Canis lupus familiaris: one gene and its partners. The protein of the gene in region 1 interacts with the protein of each later gene in a biochemical or structural test. Links are inferred from orthologs where the notes say so. Each region holds a gene or a part of one and is shown in the gene's direction. Other genes may lie near its edges.

What was found.
Region 2: of the proteins of ATF2 (region 1) and MAPK13, one has a biochemical effect on the other in vitro, tested with the Homo sapiens proteins (2 studies listed by BioGRID and IntAct). The link is inferred for Canis lupus familiaris from reciprocal best matches to the Homo sapiens genes ATF2 and MAPK13.
Region 3: of the proteins of ATF2 (region 1) and MAPK9, one has a biochemical effect on the other in vitro, tested with the Homo sapiens proteins (4 studies listed by BioGRID and IntAct, with this or other methods). The link is inferred for Canis lupus familiaris from reciprocal best matches to the Homo sapiens genes ATF2 and MAPK9.
Region 4: of the proteins of ATF2 (region 1) and MAPK11, one has a biochemical effect on the other in vitro, tested with the Homo sapiens proteins (4 studies listed by BioGRID and IntAct). The link is inferred for Canis lupus familiaris from reciprocal best matches to the Homo sapiens genes ATF2 and MAPK11.

Annotation. Positions count from the first base shown.
Region 1 is NC_049257.1:19,437,750-19,442,090, reverse strand, and holds the start of ATF2 (cyclic AMP-dependent transcription factor ATF-2), read left to right. Parts: upstream 1-1,406; 5' UTR 1,407-1,576; intron 1,577-4,341. UniProt on the Homo sapiens protein: Transcriptional activator which regulates the transcription of various genes, including those involved in anti-apoptosis, cell growth, and DNA damage response.
Region 2 is NC_049233.1:5,420,118-5,424,356, forward strand, and holds the start of MAPK13 (mitogen-activated protein kinase 13), read left to right. Parts: upstream 1-1,251; 5' UTR 1,252-1,324; coding exon 1,325-1,443; intron 1,444-2,109; coding exon 2,110-2,239; intron 2,240-3,432; coding exon 3,433-3,491; intron 3,492-4,239. UniProt on the Homo sapiens protein: Serine/threonine kinase which acts as an essential component of the MAP kinase signal transduction pathway.
Region 3 is NC_049232.1:1,739,897-1,743,586, forward strand, and holds the end of MAPK9 (mitogen-activated protein kinase 9), read left to right. Parts: coding exon 1-140; 3' UTR 141-3,131; downstream 3,132-3,690. UniProt on the Homo sapiens protein: Serine/threonine-protein kinase involved in various processes such as cell proliferation, differentiation, migration, transformation and programmed cell death.
Region 4 is NC_049231.1:17,883,594-17,888,032, forward strand, and holds the start of MAPK11 (mitogen-activated protein kinase 11), read left to right. Parts: upstream 1-1,620; 5' UTR 1,621-1,637; coding exon 1,638-1,753; intron 1,754-4,074; coding exon 4,075-4,204; intron 4,205-4,309; coding exon 4,310-4,368; intron 4,369-4,439. UniProt on the Homo sapiens protein: Serine/threonine kinase which acts as an essential component of the MAP kinase signal transduction pathway.

The DNA of each region.
Region 1 (4,341 bases):
ATATGGTATCTTTTGTCCCTCAAGTTAAATTAATCAAATGGTCTCCCTTCTCTAACTCTTTTTTAAACAGCTACTTTCAAAGCTTGACAGACATTTCTTTGTCATCGTAGCAACCTAGTGAGCACTGGCTAGTATTATGAGAAGAGAGCCATTTCTAGTCCATATTCTAATTTGGTGTTCTTCGGTCCCCAGTAAAGGTTACTAAGGAGTTGATGTTTTAAAAGTTTGAAATTATCTGCATTAAAGGTGATACGTTTAAAATCTGTAACTACTAAGTAAAGGGAAATTGATAGAATACACCTTCCTAAGGAAGATTTTCTCTTGCAAGCAACTCCTTGAGCTGTTTCAACTTACAGTTATATAGTGGGGGGCGCTGCATTTCATATCCTTCCGGGTACCAGGCGTTCAGGAGCCGGAACAACCAATATCAGCGATAGCTTCGTAAAATTTGAACAAATGCCATCCAAAGGCTTTTTCATTTCTTTGTAAAACTGACTTTTTTTTTTTTTTGCAAAACTGACACTTTTTTTTTCTTTTCTTTTCTTTTTGCAAAACTGACTTCTCTTGGGACTCCCGGGTGGCTCAGCGGTTGAGCCTTCAGCCCAGGGCGTGATCCTGGAGACCCAGGATCGAGTCCCGCATCGGGCTCCCTGCATGGAGCCTGCTTCTCCCTCTGCCTGAGTCTCTGCCTCTCTCTCCATCTCTTATACATAAATAAATAAAATCTTAAAAAAAAAAAAAAAAAAGCTGACTTCTCTTTCCCGCTTCAGGCGTGTGGAGGCCTTGAGGGGGAGGGGCATTTTGCTGCAAACTCCGCCTCTCCCAAATCTCAGCTCCACGGAACCTCCCCGTCTCACATTTCAGGGCAGCAGAAAAGTGGGTCCAGGCGCGCGCCCGCCTAACGTTTTGCCCTCCTTCCTACCCAGGGCCCGGAAGGGACGGCAGCAGAAATACTGGGCTCCCGTGACGGAGCTCGGAGGCCTCCTCGCGCCTCCCCTCCCGCCACTCGCAGCCTCTTCCGCAGGTCCCCTCGTCCTCGGCGCGCACCGTCAAGCCCTTGGGCCACCCCGACATCCACCTGTTCCCGCATCCACAGCCCCGCCAGTCTCCAGCCCCAGCCAATCACAGCCTTCCGCAGGTGACGGAGGCTCCTCCCCTCCGGCTCCTTCGGCCCCGCCCCCTTCCGGAACCGCTTCCCGCCCTCTGGGCTCCTTGACCAATCGTCTGCGACTGAGTGGCCTTTGGTTCCCGCCCCCTCCAGCCCCTCCCTCCTCAGGTCCCGCCCCCTGCCGCTGAAGGCTGACGGCATCACCTGACCCGGAGGCGCTCGGTCGAAAGGAAGGCAAGAAGGGGCGTGTGCGCGGAGGGGAGGGGCGCGAGAAGAAAGGGGGGATGCCGGGAGCGGGGCGGGGAGAAAGGGGTGTCAGTCGGATCTCGCGAGAGAGGACGGAAGCCTGTGGGAGCCCGTGGCCTTTAAAGTGCGGTTCAGCCCTTTCCTCCAGGGGTAGTTTGTAAACACGGCTGAGCTCGGGCCTCCCGGGCGGCAGCGAGAAGCATGAACTAGCGACCTGGGAAGGTGAGTAGCGCGGGCGGAAGGCCGCAGGGCTGCGGCTGGAGGGAGAGGGAGAGAGAAGGCGCTAACATGGCGACGTCGCTCCGCGTAGTCCCCACCCCCCGCTTCCCATCGCCTCGGGCGCTCCTGCCTCGGTGCCCGGCCCTCGGGGCGACCCAGGCCGTCCCGCCAGCTGCGCGGCAGGCGCGGCGTCGGCGGCGGGGAGCCCGGCCGGCCCGGCGGGCCCGTTATAGGGAACTGGCGTTCGTCGTTCCGGCCCCTCCCCGCTCGCGCGCTTTCCTAACGAGGAGGAAAAAGGAATAACGGCGCCTCTTAGACCCCTCCCCCCCGGTTCGCCTTCCCCTTCCCCGGTTAGGTCGGAGGTGTCCGGGCGCCCCCACGCCGCACCCCCGGGGGCGCAGGGAGACCCCCGCCTTCAGCCCTTGGATCTGCAGGGAGAGGGCCGGCTCGGGTCTCCCCGCCCAGGACTCGGGGGTGCGGGGACTGTGTGGGTGATGCTGGCGGGGAGGGGGGTCGGGGTCCCCGCCTGCGGCCGCGCCGACGGCCTGGGCAGCCCGGGAGCTGGAAGTCCCCGCCGGTTCTGTCCTTTCTGCCCCCTCACACTCCCGCCACCCCCCGCTTTTTCCCTGTGGGGCGGGGCTGAGGTGTGGGTGCAGATTGATTCTGGTATTTTCCCCCATTTTCTTTCTTTTCTTTTTTTTTTTTTTTTTAAACCTCCCCGCACGGACTGCAGAGCCTCTGTAGGGTAAATAACCTGTGCCTTTTTTTTTTTTTTTTTTAATGCCCTAGGGACCAGGGCCGAGGGAGTGACTGTGTGTGTCTGTATTTTTTGTGTTAGCTCGTTGAACCGACGCTAGAGGAAGGAGAAGGCGGAGGAGCTGGGGATCATTTGTGTCCTTAGATAGTCTGAAATTGCTTTCGCTTGGGGGGCGGGGGCGGGGGGGGGGGGGAGTTGAAAACTGGTTGAGGCCAAGCGCAAAACTACCGTCAATATGGTAGAGTAAAGGGATTACACCTGATGGACGACCTTCGCCCTGTTGACTGATAGTTAAATCATAATGTGAAAGTCCTCATTTCTTGGGGGTTTTAAATTATGGAGACGGTAACCGTGCGTTGACTTTAATGTACACACTTGATGTCCAGACAAACCTGTACCTCTCTGAGTGCACTTTGTGTCCTGTGTGAAGAAACCACTGGCACTGTCAGTAAGTAATAGCCTTTCTAGGCGTCGTTTTTAAATAGCCGTGTAACCTTGGTCCGTTGTACCAGAACTTGAAGGTAATAAGCTTGTTCAAAAGTCAGCCCTACAGGTTAAGTGACCTGAAAGGCAAACACAGTAGCAATTCCATCTTGTGATTACATTTGTTACACTGATTTGAGGAATCCGCTGTAAACACTTCGCAGAACTGCAAGAGTATCTTTGTAAAGGATGTTTAAAAAAAAAAAAAAAAGAGATGCCCTCTTACAGATAAAGAATTAGTTAAGGATGTTCTTGAATCTTTAAGGTCATCAGTAATTGAGTAACAATTAAAAATCTTGGTCTTTTTTTTTTTAAGATTTTATTTATTAAAAAAAGAAAGATTTATTAATGAGAGAGAGAGGGAGGCAGAGACAGAGGCAGAGGGAGAAGCAGGCTCCATGCAGGGAGCCCCATTTGGGACTCCATCCCAGGACCCCGGGGTCACGCACCTGAGCCGGAAGGCAGATGCTCAACCGCTGGGCCACCCGGGCATCCCAAAAATCTTGGTCTTTGTAATTTATAAGAATCTTACAAATTTATGGTTGTTTGTATGCTGCTTTCCGAAGACCTGTTTTATCTTGCTTCGAGAGGATTACGGCCATTAGATTTTTAATTATTTGAAATATATTGTGGTAATTTAGAACATAGATGTTTGTATTTGTCAATAAGGAAGGAGCTTTCAGGAACTGTGTGTGTGTGTTTTTAAGGTACATGTGTCTTCTGTAGATCTCATTGCATTTCTTGGAAATTCTTTTTAACCTTATAAGAATGTATATTTCATCCTTGGGGCACTATATCATAATGTATTAAATATGTAATCCAGAAATTCCTGTATTTTCTTTACTTGGAGTATTTGTTTCATATTTTTAAACAGTACAAATTAAGATTATTATGTCAGCTCTTTAACATAATTTGGAGGGATGCTTTTTCTTGGTATTCAGGATTTAAAAGCTATCTGAATATCATTTTTAAAAATGTTATGCTAGGGGCATCTGGGTGGCTCAGTTGGTTAGGTGTCTGCCTTCGCTTGGAGTCATGATCCCAAGGTTCTGGGATGACCCCCCGCCCCACTCCTTGCTCAGCAGGGAGCCTGCTTCTTCCTCTCCCTCTTGTTAGTGCTTGCTCTCTCCTCGCTCTCAAATAAAATCTTTAAAAAAAAAATGCTACACATCAAATGTCTACTACCTATAACTAGCATTAAGTCTCAAGAAATAATTACATTTTTTCCTACCTAAATTGTTGTATTTTGAAAAAGTTGGGTTTTAATGATTTAGATGTTCTCTGCTGATAAATTGTTAGATTATATTAGATCAAATGTGTCGATCTTATCTGTGTCATTTTGAGCAAATAATACAATCCCCCCCCCCTTTTTTTTGGTATATTTTTTTATTGGAATTCGATTTGCCAACATATAGTATAACACCCCGTGCTGGACAGCCCAGGTGGCTCAACGGTTTAGCGCCGCCTTTAGCCCAGGGTGTGATCCTGGAGATCTGGGATCGAGCCCCATGTCGGGCTCCCTGCATGG
Region 2 (4,239 bases), on another chromosome or scaffold:
CCCTTTGATTAAGTGAAGCGAGTGGTCCCCACCCCTTCCACGACCCCTTCCCTGTATGAGCACAGAATCAGCCACCAGACACAGGTGGCAGAAGGCCCTGGCCCGTCATTGCCCTCATGGGGCATTAGGATGCCAGCAAAAAAAAACGTTCAAAATTGGAAATTTGGGCCTGGACTGGAAAGTTGGTGCTATAGAATCACTGTTGGTAATTTTAGATGTAAAAATGACATTGTGGTTATGTCTTAAAAGCAGTCCTTAGCCTTTAGAGACACAAAAAATATTTATGGATGAAATTATATGATACCTGGTGTTGCTTCAAAATGATGGAAACAAAACTGGCTGAGAGTAGGGACGCCTGGGTGGCTCAGCGGGTGAGCGTCTGCCTTAGGCTTGGGATGTGATCCCGAGGTCCGAGATGGAGTCCCGCGTCGGGCTCCCTGCAGGGAGCCTGCTTCTCCCTCTGCCTGTCTCTGCCTCTCTCTGTGTGTCTCTCATGAAGAAAGAAATAAATTAAAACAAAACAAAACATCAGCTAAGGGTTGATATAACTGTTGAAGCTGCGGGGCTGGGGTCACGATCGCCAGAAAGTGAGGTCCCGAGAGTCTCTGAGCGGAGCGGGTTCGAAATGCACAATCTTGGCTCCGCCCCAGATCAACTGGGCCAGAGTGTGCATTCTTTTTTTTTTTTTTTTTTTAAGATTTTACTTATTTATTCAAGAGAGACACAAAGAGAGGCAGACACAGGCAGAGGCAGAAGCAGGCTCCATGCAGGGAGCCCGACGTGGGACTGGATCCGGGATCCCGCAGCCACCCAGGGATCCCCCCAGTCTTTCTAAGCAAACACAAGTCCCAGGGGATTCAGGGCACGTTCAAACGTGGGACTCACCGGTCTCGTCTGTCTACTTTCGTACCTTTTCGAAACTTGCCGTAATCAAAAGTTGTGGGGTTTTGTTTCTCCAGAATCGTCTCCACCAGCTCCACCCCCAACCCCGCGCAAGATCCCCCCTCCCCAGTCTCGGGCCGGGGGCCCCGGGAGCCCTGTCCCCCCGCCTCCGCCCCCGGGAGCCCCCCGGGCCTCCCCAGCACCCGCTCCCGCCGCCTGCTCACCTGCCGGCCGGGCTGCGGCGGGGCCCCGCGCGGGGGCCGTGGGCAGGTCCGGCGTGGCCGCGCCCCGCGCACCTGGGCGAGCCGGCAGGTGGGACGCGCCGAGCCCGGGCCCCGCCCTCGCGCGGGGGAGGAGCGGGCGGCGGGCGGCCCCGGTGCAGGGAGCCGGCGGGCGGCGATCGCAGGCGCCGCGCTGGGGCCGCCGACGTCGGGCGCCCGGGATGAGCTTCACCCGGAAAAAGGGCTTCTACAGGCAGGACGTCAACAAGACCGCCTGGGAGCTGCCCAAGACCTACGTGTCGCCGACGCACGTGGGCAGCGGGGCCTACGGCGCCGTGTGGTGAGACCCCGGGGCGCGGGGCGCGGGGCGCGGGGCGGGCGGAGCCTCCCGACCAGCCGGGCCGGCGCCCCCCTTCCCCGACCCGCCTCGGGGCGCCCCCCGCCCCTGCTGGGCGCTCGGGGCCGCGCGCGCCACCTCCGGGGGGGGGGGGGCGGCCCAGGGTCCTGCGGGGCTGGTCCTGCGGCGCTTGGAGCTGGGAGGAGGCCGCAGGCCTCAGGCTGGGGCAGACCGGGCGCCACCTCACTGTTCCCACCGGCTTTGTGGGGTCTCTGGGGGCTCAATTAGGACTGGGGGTCTGGGTCCCCAGCGCTTGAATCCCACAAGGGACCCCAGAGTTCATCCGGGTTACAGGTGGGTACACCGAGACCCAAAGAGGGAGAAGTGCGACTTGCCAAGGTGCAAAGAGTGAGCCCCCCTCCGGGCTCTGGATCCGGTTCATGCACCCCTCGGTCACTGCCGCCCCTGAGGGCACTGGGGGCTGCTCCCTCACCTTGCGGCTCGTGGGCTGCCTTCTGCGCAGCCCAGCCTGCTGCCCGGGAGGGGTTTCGGTGAGGATGGCCTGGGCTCCCCGCAGTGGCCTGGGGGATGCCATCCGGGTTGTGGTGTGGGGGCTGCTGGCGTGGAAAGAAAGCCACAGCCCCCCGGACCTCTGCCCGTGCCCTGCAGCTGTGCCATCGACAAGCGGTCAGGGGAGAAGGTGGCCATCAAGAAGCTGAGCCGGCCCTTCCAGTCTGAGATCTTTGCCAAACGTGCCTACCGAGAGCTGCAGCTGCTGAAGCACATGCAGCATGAAAACGTAGGCTGGGCCTGGGGGACCGGCGGGTGGGGGCGGGGCCCCCAAGCATCCTGACTAGGTGCACCCTTCCTCCCCCACTTTTGAGTGTAGGGGAGATGGCAAGAAGGCCGTGAGAGTACAGATGGCTCAGGAGGGGAACAGGGGAAGGGGAATCTCCTCCCTGCCCCTCCCACCACTGTTCCTCACTTCATTAAAATGAGGTGCCAGGACCTGCCCTGCCTACTTCCAGGAAGGGTGCAAAGTGTGTTTTTGGCAGTGGAGCAAAATGAACTTTGTGAGGTGCAAACTTACTGTTTCACATTACGAGGAAATGCACACGGAGGAACCTCGTAGTTCGTTCTAGCTCTCAGAGCTAGGGTGCCCAGCATCCTGGTTACTGTGGCTTCCACACGTGGCTCTGCCAACGACAACCAGGGTTCCTTGAGCCCTCTATGTGCCAAGTGCTGTCCTCGGAGCTTTGCGTAGACTAACTTGTGAATCCTCACAATATCACGGGAGTGGAGTACTATTACTTCCATGTACAGGAGGGGAAACTGAGGCACAGAAAGACTAATGGGTTATATGGTTAGTCAGTGTCAGAGCTGAGATGTGAACCTAGGCAGCCTGGCACCAGGCCTTAGTGCATAACCACTGGAGATCCTGTCTGTTAGAAACCCCTGGGAAGTCTAGCGACCCAGCGCTGGGCCTAACAACTGGGCTTTGCTCCAGGATACGTAGATTGGTAAAATAATGATTCCAAAATACGGTAGGCAAGTAGGAAGCCCTGTCCCTCTTCAGCAAACCCCTCCCCATAGCCCCCCACCCCCCACCAGGGTGACATTGCCCCTGGCTCCGAACCAGGCCTTGTTCCCTCCTTGATTCCCTTCACCACTTGTGGTTTCCTGCTTGAGTGGAGGGTGAATTTGCAGGCCTGCCTTGAACCCCAGACTTGGGGCTGGTAGACACAGGGATGGCCCCCTCCGCTTCTCCCCAGCCTGACATTCCATCACTGTGCCCTGCGAGCTCCCTCCCAGTTAAGGGGATTCCTCTTCTGCCTCTGCCCTTTTCTCTGCTCCCCAGAAGGCTGGGAACCTACCTCCTGCCGGGATGGTTATTCAGAGAGGGTGGGTGGTGGTGGGTGCAGCTGGGGCTGCAAGGGACAGGGGGAGAGGGCTGTGGCGCTGCCCAGCCTCACTGGCAACCTTCTCTCCCAGGTCATCGGGCTCCTGGATGTCTTCACCCCAGCCTCCTCCCTGCGCAGCTTCCATGACTTGTGAGTCGGGCTGCACTGGGTTCCAGGGCGTTCTCAGGCCTCACTCGCTGCTCTGCCTGGGAGCCAGCAGGGCGAGCCCAGACTGTGTCTCTGGGCAGGGCCTCCTGTTCCGGCTGTACCCGCCCCCCATGAGTGATGCTCTCTGGAGATTCTTTCAGCTGGGGATGGAGAGAAAGGCAGGCAGGCAGGGGGGGCTTTGTGGGGTGCTTGCCTGACCAGAACTGTCTGTTCAGCTGCTGCACTTAACTGCCCTCTGTCATCCCAGCCAGGACCTCACTGGCAGTCCTCACAGCGTCTGCACCAACTTACCTCGCCAACTCTGCAGGGTCCCTGGTGTGGGTCTGGACCTTGGGGCTCTTCCTGGCAGGAAGCAAGGATCAGGAAGTCCCGGCCACCTCTGGCTGGTGGGGTATTTGACTGAGTCACACAGAACCAGAAATCAATAGTTGATTATAGTTGTTAAATGCATGGCTTTGCTCCCCAAGTGCCTGGTCTTAAAACGTAGGAAACCTTTGGGAAGGTAGATTCGTTTTCCTTTTGTTCCCCCATCCCTATTTCAGATGCAGCTGAAGGTCCCTGCTTTTGTTTTAAATTTAATGGGGTGATTTTGAAGGAAGGTTTTTTTTTTTCCCTCTAAAGCCAGCTATGGGGCTTAGCATTGGGAATTAATTTATTTTTATTTTTTTTAAAGATGTTATTTATTTGTTCATGAGAGACACAGAGAGGGAGAGAGGAAGAGACACAGGCA
Region 3 (3,690 bases), on another chromosome or scaffold:
CAGCAGTAAGTAGCAATGCCACTCCTTCCCGGTCATCATCCATCAACGACATCTCATCCATGTCCACGGAGCAGACGCTGGCCTCAGACACAGACAGCAGCCTTGATGCCTCGACGGGACCCCTCGAAGGCTGCCGATGATAAGTCACAAGTAACAAGCTCGTCAACAGTGAAGGAGCTCTCGCTTCCATGGGCCTGAAATGCTTGGGGGTTGATGGAACCAAACAGAAAACTCCATGTTCTGCATGTAAGAAACACGATGCCTTGCCCCTACTCAGTTCTAATAGGATTGCCTGCCTAGATTCTACAACGAAGCAGATTATGTCTGGAGAAAACACGTGCAAGCCACACTCTTAGAGATTTTGTTCAAGGTCATTTCAGGTGAGCAATTAGAATAGACAATTTTTTTTTTAAGTTGTGCGGTCATAGTGACAATTTCTCATCCTCATAACTGTTGGGACTTACATGCATGTGACCACATGTGCTTGCTCAGACTTGCCATCTAGCACTTTGGAAATCAGTATTTAAATGCCAAATAATCTTCCAGGTAGTGCTGCTTCTAGAATGATCTCTTAATCCTCTCAAGTAATTTGGTGTCTGTCCAGAAAAAATAGATTTATGTGTTAATTGGCCACCATCATATTATCACGTCTTACCTTTTATGATACAATTTATTCTATCTTTTGTATTTCAGAAGGAATATAATTAAATCTATTTAATAAAAAAATACAACTTTTTTTTAAATTTTCATGTTTTGGGCTGAGAATTATCACTGCTGAAATCTAGACATTTATATGGACACTTTGTTTCCTCTAAATTGTCTGAATTTGGGATGAGTGTACATTCATCTTTATTGCATGATAAAATTTTAAGTTTTGTGCTGCCTAAGACAGATATACCTTTAAAATCCTAATCTACCCTCACTCATTTTTCCTGGTCTTCTGGACTTATTAATTTAAAATCCCACCTAAAACTTCGCCTTCTTGATCAGGCACCTAACACTTCATGTCAACAACACAATGGCAGATTCTCAAGTCCATTAGCGGTGAGAGTAGAATTTGACAAGACGGTCACTGAAGCTGACTGCGGTGACTTCCTGAGCGCTTGCTTTCCCCAAGCCTGGTCAGGGTCATTCCCTCATTCCTGGGGAGGTGCACCATCTCCCAGGACAGCGTTTCCAATTTCCAACCTAATGTTCTTATTTGGCTTTTCTTTCTTTGCTGAAAGAAGCCACATAACCCCATCCATCCACCCCCAACCTCCCCACACTTGGATCTGTTCGAGGAAGCGAAGTGATTCCAAACGCCTGTGTGGTGGTGGTGGTGGTTTTTTCCACTTCGTGGAGCATCCCCTTTTCCTAAGGGAAACCCATGAATTTTCTGGGAAACCTCCTCATGGGGTTTTTTTGGAGGAAGTGCCCTCAAGAGTGGTGATTAACCATTGAGTACTTTCTGATTTAAAACTGCTCACCTGAAATTGATGCTTTCAGACTTTCTGATGTGGAAATTATTCAGAGTTCACTAAGCTACTGAGTACTGAAGTGTCACTGCAGAAATGGAGTTACAATGATCACATTTTTTTGGTTACCTGTGCTCCTAATGCTTGCCCCATGAGCTTATTCTGTTAAAAATTCATATCTTGTGTTTTACTGTTTTTGGAAGCTATTGGGTCAGCATTCTATAGGAATGTGTTCTGAGGAGGAACTTTGATAAGAAATTTTATTATAAATATTATCAAAAAGATATGATTCTCTCGCACCAGTTGTATCTTATTGGTGGGTCTGATCACTGGAAACTGGAACCCTTGATGAACAAAATTATTATTGAAGGTAATAGTTTTATATTGTGAGGTTTAGACACATTCAGGTACAAGATGGAAATTCTGACTTGGATTAAAGGAGAAATACCTATTATGATATGGCTCAGGATGGTTTTGGCTTTGGAGGCCTGATGGTATAGTGAAGAAAGTTATCATTATCTATATATAAACATCTTAAAATGGCCTTTTCTCTAATACATATTCTTTAAAAAGACTTCACTAAATCTATCTTTAAATAGAAAAAGAGAGAGGAGAATTTTTTAAATGTATGAACTGCCCTTGGCTTCTGTGAACGCGGCCTGGGGATGCTGAGGGCTTGTGAAGCTCCTGTATCCATCCAAGGTCTGGATCCTGAGAGGAGCTTGGGTGCCTCTGCAGACTGGCTTTTTACTCAGTTATCATTCCTCCTGCATATTCTTGGATGGAGCTTGTCTGGGCGTGGGTGGGCTTCCTGCCATGCCCACCACCCATCAGACAGCAGGAGTGCACCAGGGTGGGACAGGCCACTGGCCGCAGAGAGCAGAGCTCCCATAGAAATACCTCAGCCCCCATCATGGTCCTCCGTCCTGAGCCAAAATGTGCCAGGGTCCTGGTGCATTGCAGACAGTTTCAAACTGCTGTCTATGGATGAATGCTGATGTTGGGAAAAGAACTAAAACGTGCTCAACTTTTTCATCTTTTCTATTTTATTTTTGTAATTTATATTGTACACAACCCTGGAAGTAACTATTTTGGACACATATTTTTATAAACCAGGTAATTTATTATTAGCCTGGAATTGGGACTAGGTTTATTTTATTTGTTGGCTTAGTTTTCAGTCAAAAAGGAAACGACTGCCTCCCCTATGTCAGGTCTTGACCTCAGGTGCAGGTTTCAGAGAGCAGAGAGGGTCTATCAGAGCAGGAGAACATTGTGGAAACACGGACTGCTCAGTGCTGATCAGTCGTGGTCGCAGAAATGGAAGTGGGGCTCTGTTCTTCTCTTGGGGACATGAAACTCAGAGCCTCCATGCTGGAAGGAGAAAACCCTTGGCAGGGCCCCCTGCTGACACCCAGAGTCCCTGGTTGAACCTCTGGATGGGATAATCCAGCAGTTTAATCCAGATTCAATACTGTGTAAGTCATGGTGACCATGTATGAGTCTGTCTGGTTGATTTCTAATGTCCTCCTCTGGTGTTTCATGCTGGTAGTAAATACAGGTGTGACCTTCAGATTGCAGATCTCAAAAGTAACATTGCCTAATGTTTTATAATAAAATATATTATGTGTGTTTTGATTAGTGAAAATAATACAGATACATTTTAAAAGAGAAGTATATAGCATGTCCAGTTCTTGTGTGTTTCTAAGTGACACTTGGCTATATTTCTACATCACCATCTCTGATTACAGACTTAACGTGAACACGGGTGGATGTTGGAGTGTCGTCATTTCCTTCCAATATTAGCAAATATTTTTAATCAAAAGGCAAAACGTTTCTTTTTCGTCTGTTGCTAAAAATGTCCTGCAAATTTCTGAATCTCAAGTTTTCAAAAATATGCAAGTATACTAATCAGATATTCCCGAGTATTGGTATAAGTGTTTTTCTCACAAGGTGTGGCCAGGAGGATCCACCGAGGGGTCTTTCCTTGTCTTACTTAGAATCCTTAATGGTGCCTATGTGCTTATAGTTTTGTGAACAGGATGAGCCACTTTGATTTCACTCCTAGTTTTGAGGTACTTGAAGATATTTACTACTCCAGGGCAACCAGGTAGCTCGGTTGGTCAGGTGTCCAACTCGATCTCTGCTCAGGTCTTGATCTCAGGGTCATGAGTTCAAGCCCTGCTTTGGGCTCCATGCTGGGCATGAAGCCTACTTAAAAAAGATGTTCACTATT
Region 4 (4,439 bases), on another chromosome or scaffold:
CCGCTGCTCTCCGCTGCAGGCCACCAGGCCTGTCACCTGGCCGCAGCCACCTCCTGCAGCCAGTGGCCGGGATGGCATTGTGGGAAGGCCCAGCAGGGGTCCCACCGGGGTCCCTCCCATGGAGCTCTGTCCTCCGGGCAGGACGCTGGCCGGGAGGAGGGCCCTGTCGCCATGGGAACCTGGGGGCACCCCCAGCGCTAACAAAGGCCGCCCCCTCCCCGCCTTCAGCTGAAGCTGCACTGGCTCCGCACAAAACCCAGGCACCGCCCCGCGGGGCGGGGACACCGGGGTCCCAGAGGGGAAACTGAGGCCGGGGTCCTGCCAGGCTGGCCGCGGGCGGGGCTCGGCTCACGCTGCAGTCCCGATGCGCCGGGCAGTGACGTTTGCCCGGTGCTGCCCTGACAACGCTTTGCTTTAATTTGGCTGCTGGTATTTAAAGCCAGCAGATTTCACATAAAATCTCAGGGTTTGGTTTGTTTGGAAGAGGGCGTGGCTGCCATGTCCCCGGAGGTGCCAGCCCTGCCCCCGCCCTCATCGCGCGTCCGAAGGCACCTGTCACCCGGCAGTGCTGGTCACCTTTGAGGGGGAAGGAGAGGTGCGCGAGCCCAGCACCGGACAGAGGCGAGGCCGCCCTTCGGGGTGAGGGACGGGCAGCGCTGCCGAGGGGACACAGGGAACGAGCTGCGGTGATGCCCCGGAGGAGCCGCGCAGGACATGGGAAAGTCAGGGTGGGCTTCTCGCAAGAGGTGGCGGCGGAAGGGGGTTAGGAGGAGAGGAGCTGGGAACCGAAGGGGCCCGGTTGGGGGCAGCTGTTTGTGGGTACAGCACCTCAGAGGTGGCCGGGCGCTGCCGCTGTCCCTGGTCCTGAAGGGGCTGGTCCTCGGGCCGCACCAGCAGCGCCTCGCCCCCGGCGGTGCCCAGGCCAGCCCCGAGCGGGAGCCGCCGCGCAGCCACTGGAGGCCCCGGACACGGGCCACGGCGCGGGCGGGGCGGCGGGGGGGGGCCGGGCCACCCACCTGCCTGCCCCACGGCCACGTCCCACCAAGTGTTCGGGTTCCTTGGGCGGCGTTTCCTATGCAGCTGCGCAGGGGTGTCGTGCAGGGCCCGGAGCGGGGGGTGGGGGGGGCCGGTGCGCGGACCCGCGGTGCCGGCAGGGGAGGGGGCGGGGAGCTGAGGCTGCGGGCAGGGCGGTGCCCCGGCGAGCGCGCGCTGCAGCCGGAGGCTGGGGGTGCGGGGCCCGGCAGGGGGCGGGGGGGGGGTGCGGGGCCCGGGAGGGGTGCGGGAGGAAGGGTGCGGGGCGGGGGGGGAGTGTGCGGGGCCCGGGAGGGGTGCGGGAGGGGGTGCGGGGTGCGGGGCCCGGGAGGGGGCGGGGCGCAGGGGTTAGGGGTGCGGGCCCCGGATGGGGCGGGGGGCAGCCGTCCGCCCAGACACCGCCCGGCTGGGGCAGGAAGCCGCGCGTCGGGCCCCGCGCTCCCCGGCCCCGCCCCGCGCCGCCGCCTCCTCCCGCCGCCCTCCGTGCGCTCGGCTCGGGCTGCGGCTCGGGCTGGGGCTGGGGCTCGGGCTGGGGCTGGGGCTCCGGCGGGGGCGCGGGCGGGCGGGGGCAGGGGCGGGGCGGGCGGGCGGCGGCCGCTTCGGCCATGTCGGGCCCGCGCGCAGGCTTCTACCGGCAGGAGCTCAACAAGACGGTGTGGGAGGTGCCGCGGCGGCTGCAGGGGCTGCGCCCGGTGGGCTCCGGCGCCTACGGCTCGGTCTGGTAGGGGCGGCGGGCAGGGCGCGGCGGCGCGGGCGGGACCGGGGCGCGCCCCCTCCCCCCTCCCCCCTCCCCTCCTCCCTCCCTCCCTCCCTCGGCCGGCAGCGCGGCGTGGGGAGGGGCCTCGCGCGCCCCCGCCCCGGGCCATCCCGGCCGCCGCGGAGGATGGGGGCGGGGGCGGAAGGAAACTTTCCCCGGACGCGGCCCGGGGCTGCGGGGAGGGGTCGTCCCCCCCCAGCGCCCCGAGGCCCCGGTCCTGCGGCGTCACGGTCGGCGGAAGGGCGGCTCCCCGGGCCCTACACGCGTGAGAGTGCGCCTCGCCCCCAGGCAAGGGCCGGCACCCCGGGGTCTGGCAGGTGCGGTACCAGCCAGTACTTCTGTTTGCAAAAGAAAAGAACCCAACTTGGGGGGGGGGGTAGGACCCCTCCCCTTGCAATGGCCTCCAACTCCGGGGCCGGTCCTGCCCCTCCCGTTTCCCAAGGGTCTCAGACTCTGGATGGGGCCGAGGGCCCAGCAGAGATGCCTGCCGTCCCCCTCCGAGGGCCCAGCAGAGATGCCTGCCGTCTCCCCCTACCATACTTGTGGGGTCGGCCTACACCCCACTCCATTTTTGCTCTAACCAGGAGACCTCAGGCTACAGCCCGCACCTGGTCCCTGGGCCCCCGAGGACAGTCTGCAAGTGGGAGCGAGGAAGGGACTTGGCTGAGACCTGTGTAGGGTTAGGGAGGCACTGAGGGGTTTAGGGTAAGGTGCTTACGGGAACTCGGAGTGCAGTTGCAATACTGACCAGCTGAGTGTGGATGTGGATGTTGAGAGGTGCTCCCCAAAACCAGTGGGGTCCTTCCCAAGGCCTCAGCCAGATGGCTGGGGAGGTCTTAGACATGGGGAGGCCGGAGCCCCTAGGGATGGGGCATTGCTCCTGGGGGACTTCCTGACCCCTCCAGGGGCTCAGTGCTGGGGCCTGGAGCAGGGCTGCTGTCCCCCCATCTGTTGTCACTGGCCGACGTGTGGGAGGCCCCAGGCTGGCTGTCCTATGCATTCCAGCCTCGGGCCTGTCTTCATCCCTAAGACGGACCTCAAAGGCAAGAGGATCAGGACAGTGCATAGGTGGCCTCTGGGGAATATAGAGTCTTGCTGGAATCGCTTGGGTCCCTAGGGAGCATCACACTCCCCGGGGGAGCCCTGGGTCTCTCCCCACTGCCCGCACGCGCCGGTGCTCCAGTGCAGGCAATGGCCCTCGCCTGGGCTCCCGTGTTCTGTGAAGCTGTGACCCAGTGCCCATTTTTGTCACTCAGTTTGCACACACAGTTGAGCAAAGGATCTGCTGCCCCACGTGAGGGGCCACTCCCCTGCTTGTGTCCCCAGAAGGGACGTGGACCTTCCCCCAAAAGCTACAGCCTGGAGGAAGGGGCATGGAGGCCCGAGACACCTACTGGGTTTCCTGCACCCCTGCCCCGGGCCCCGTGAGCACCTCAGGTGCTGCAGGAGCCGCTCCCCATGTAGACAGCATGCACTCCTGGGGGAAGCACAATTCTAGAGGGTGCAGGTAAAGGAGAGGGAGGGAAGGGCTGAGCAGCAGTGAGGACCTGGTCCCTGTAAAGGTAGGACGCCTAGTGCGGCCCCAGGGCCAGGCCGGCAACTCTGGGAGGGCCCAGCGGTGACAGGCCGTTTGCGTGTGGAGACGATGTTTCCAGTGCAGAGTGGAGGGGTGTGGAAGCTGGTGTGCAGTGGAACTTCTGGAACTTGGGGGGTGGGGCGGGCCTAGGGGAATGTTTTGTGGGTCCAGACACCACCCTCTGCTGAATGCTTCGTATAGTCCAGTTTCTCACTCTTAGAAATAATAACGCAGTAAACGTTTTCAGCTAGCTTTTTATCCATATTTTGAATATTCAGAGGTGGGGGGGGTCCAGGGGCTCTGGAGGTAGCTCTGGAACCCGGGGGGGCCTCCACGAGTGGTGGGCCCATAGGGGAGCAGGAGGACCGTTTGGGGTGAAAGGGGATGGTTCACAATGTCTGTTTTCCTGACCTGGTTGGTGGAGTTTGTCCCCCAGCCTCATGCTGGATTGTGGGGAGAAGATCCAGATCCTGCCCCATGGGTCCCAGGCGGGGCAGGCAGGGACCTGGGATGGCTGGGATGTGTGTGGGAAGGGGGACTGGAGAGTGGGTGCCCCTTGAGGAACGAGGCACAGAGGAGAGGCTCCCCAGGTGCTGGACTCGGGCTGGCCACATGGACAGTGGTGCACCCGAGGGGCCCTCTGAAAAAGGCAGGGGCCCTGGGTGCATGGCCAGCCCCCACCCCGCCGCCTCACTCACCCACCTTGCAGCTCGGCCTACGACACACGGCTGCGCCAGAAGGTGGCGGTGAAGAAACTGTCGCGCCCCTTCCAGTCGCTGATCCACGCACGGAGAACTTACCGCGAGCTGCGCCTGCTCAAGCATCTGAAGCATGAGAATGTGAGCCTGGAGCGCCGGGGCAGGTCAGCGGGGTGGGGGTGGGGCACACACGGGGCACACAGCCCCAGGGCGCCTCGCCGAGTCCTGACGCCCGTCCCCACGCAGGTCATCGGGCTGCTGGACGTGTTCACGCCGGCCACCTCCATTGAGGACTTCAGCGAAGTGTGAGTGGCAGCTGATGCGGGGCTCGGGAGCGCATTGTGGGGGCTGCCTGCTGACCCCTGACCCCTCCCAG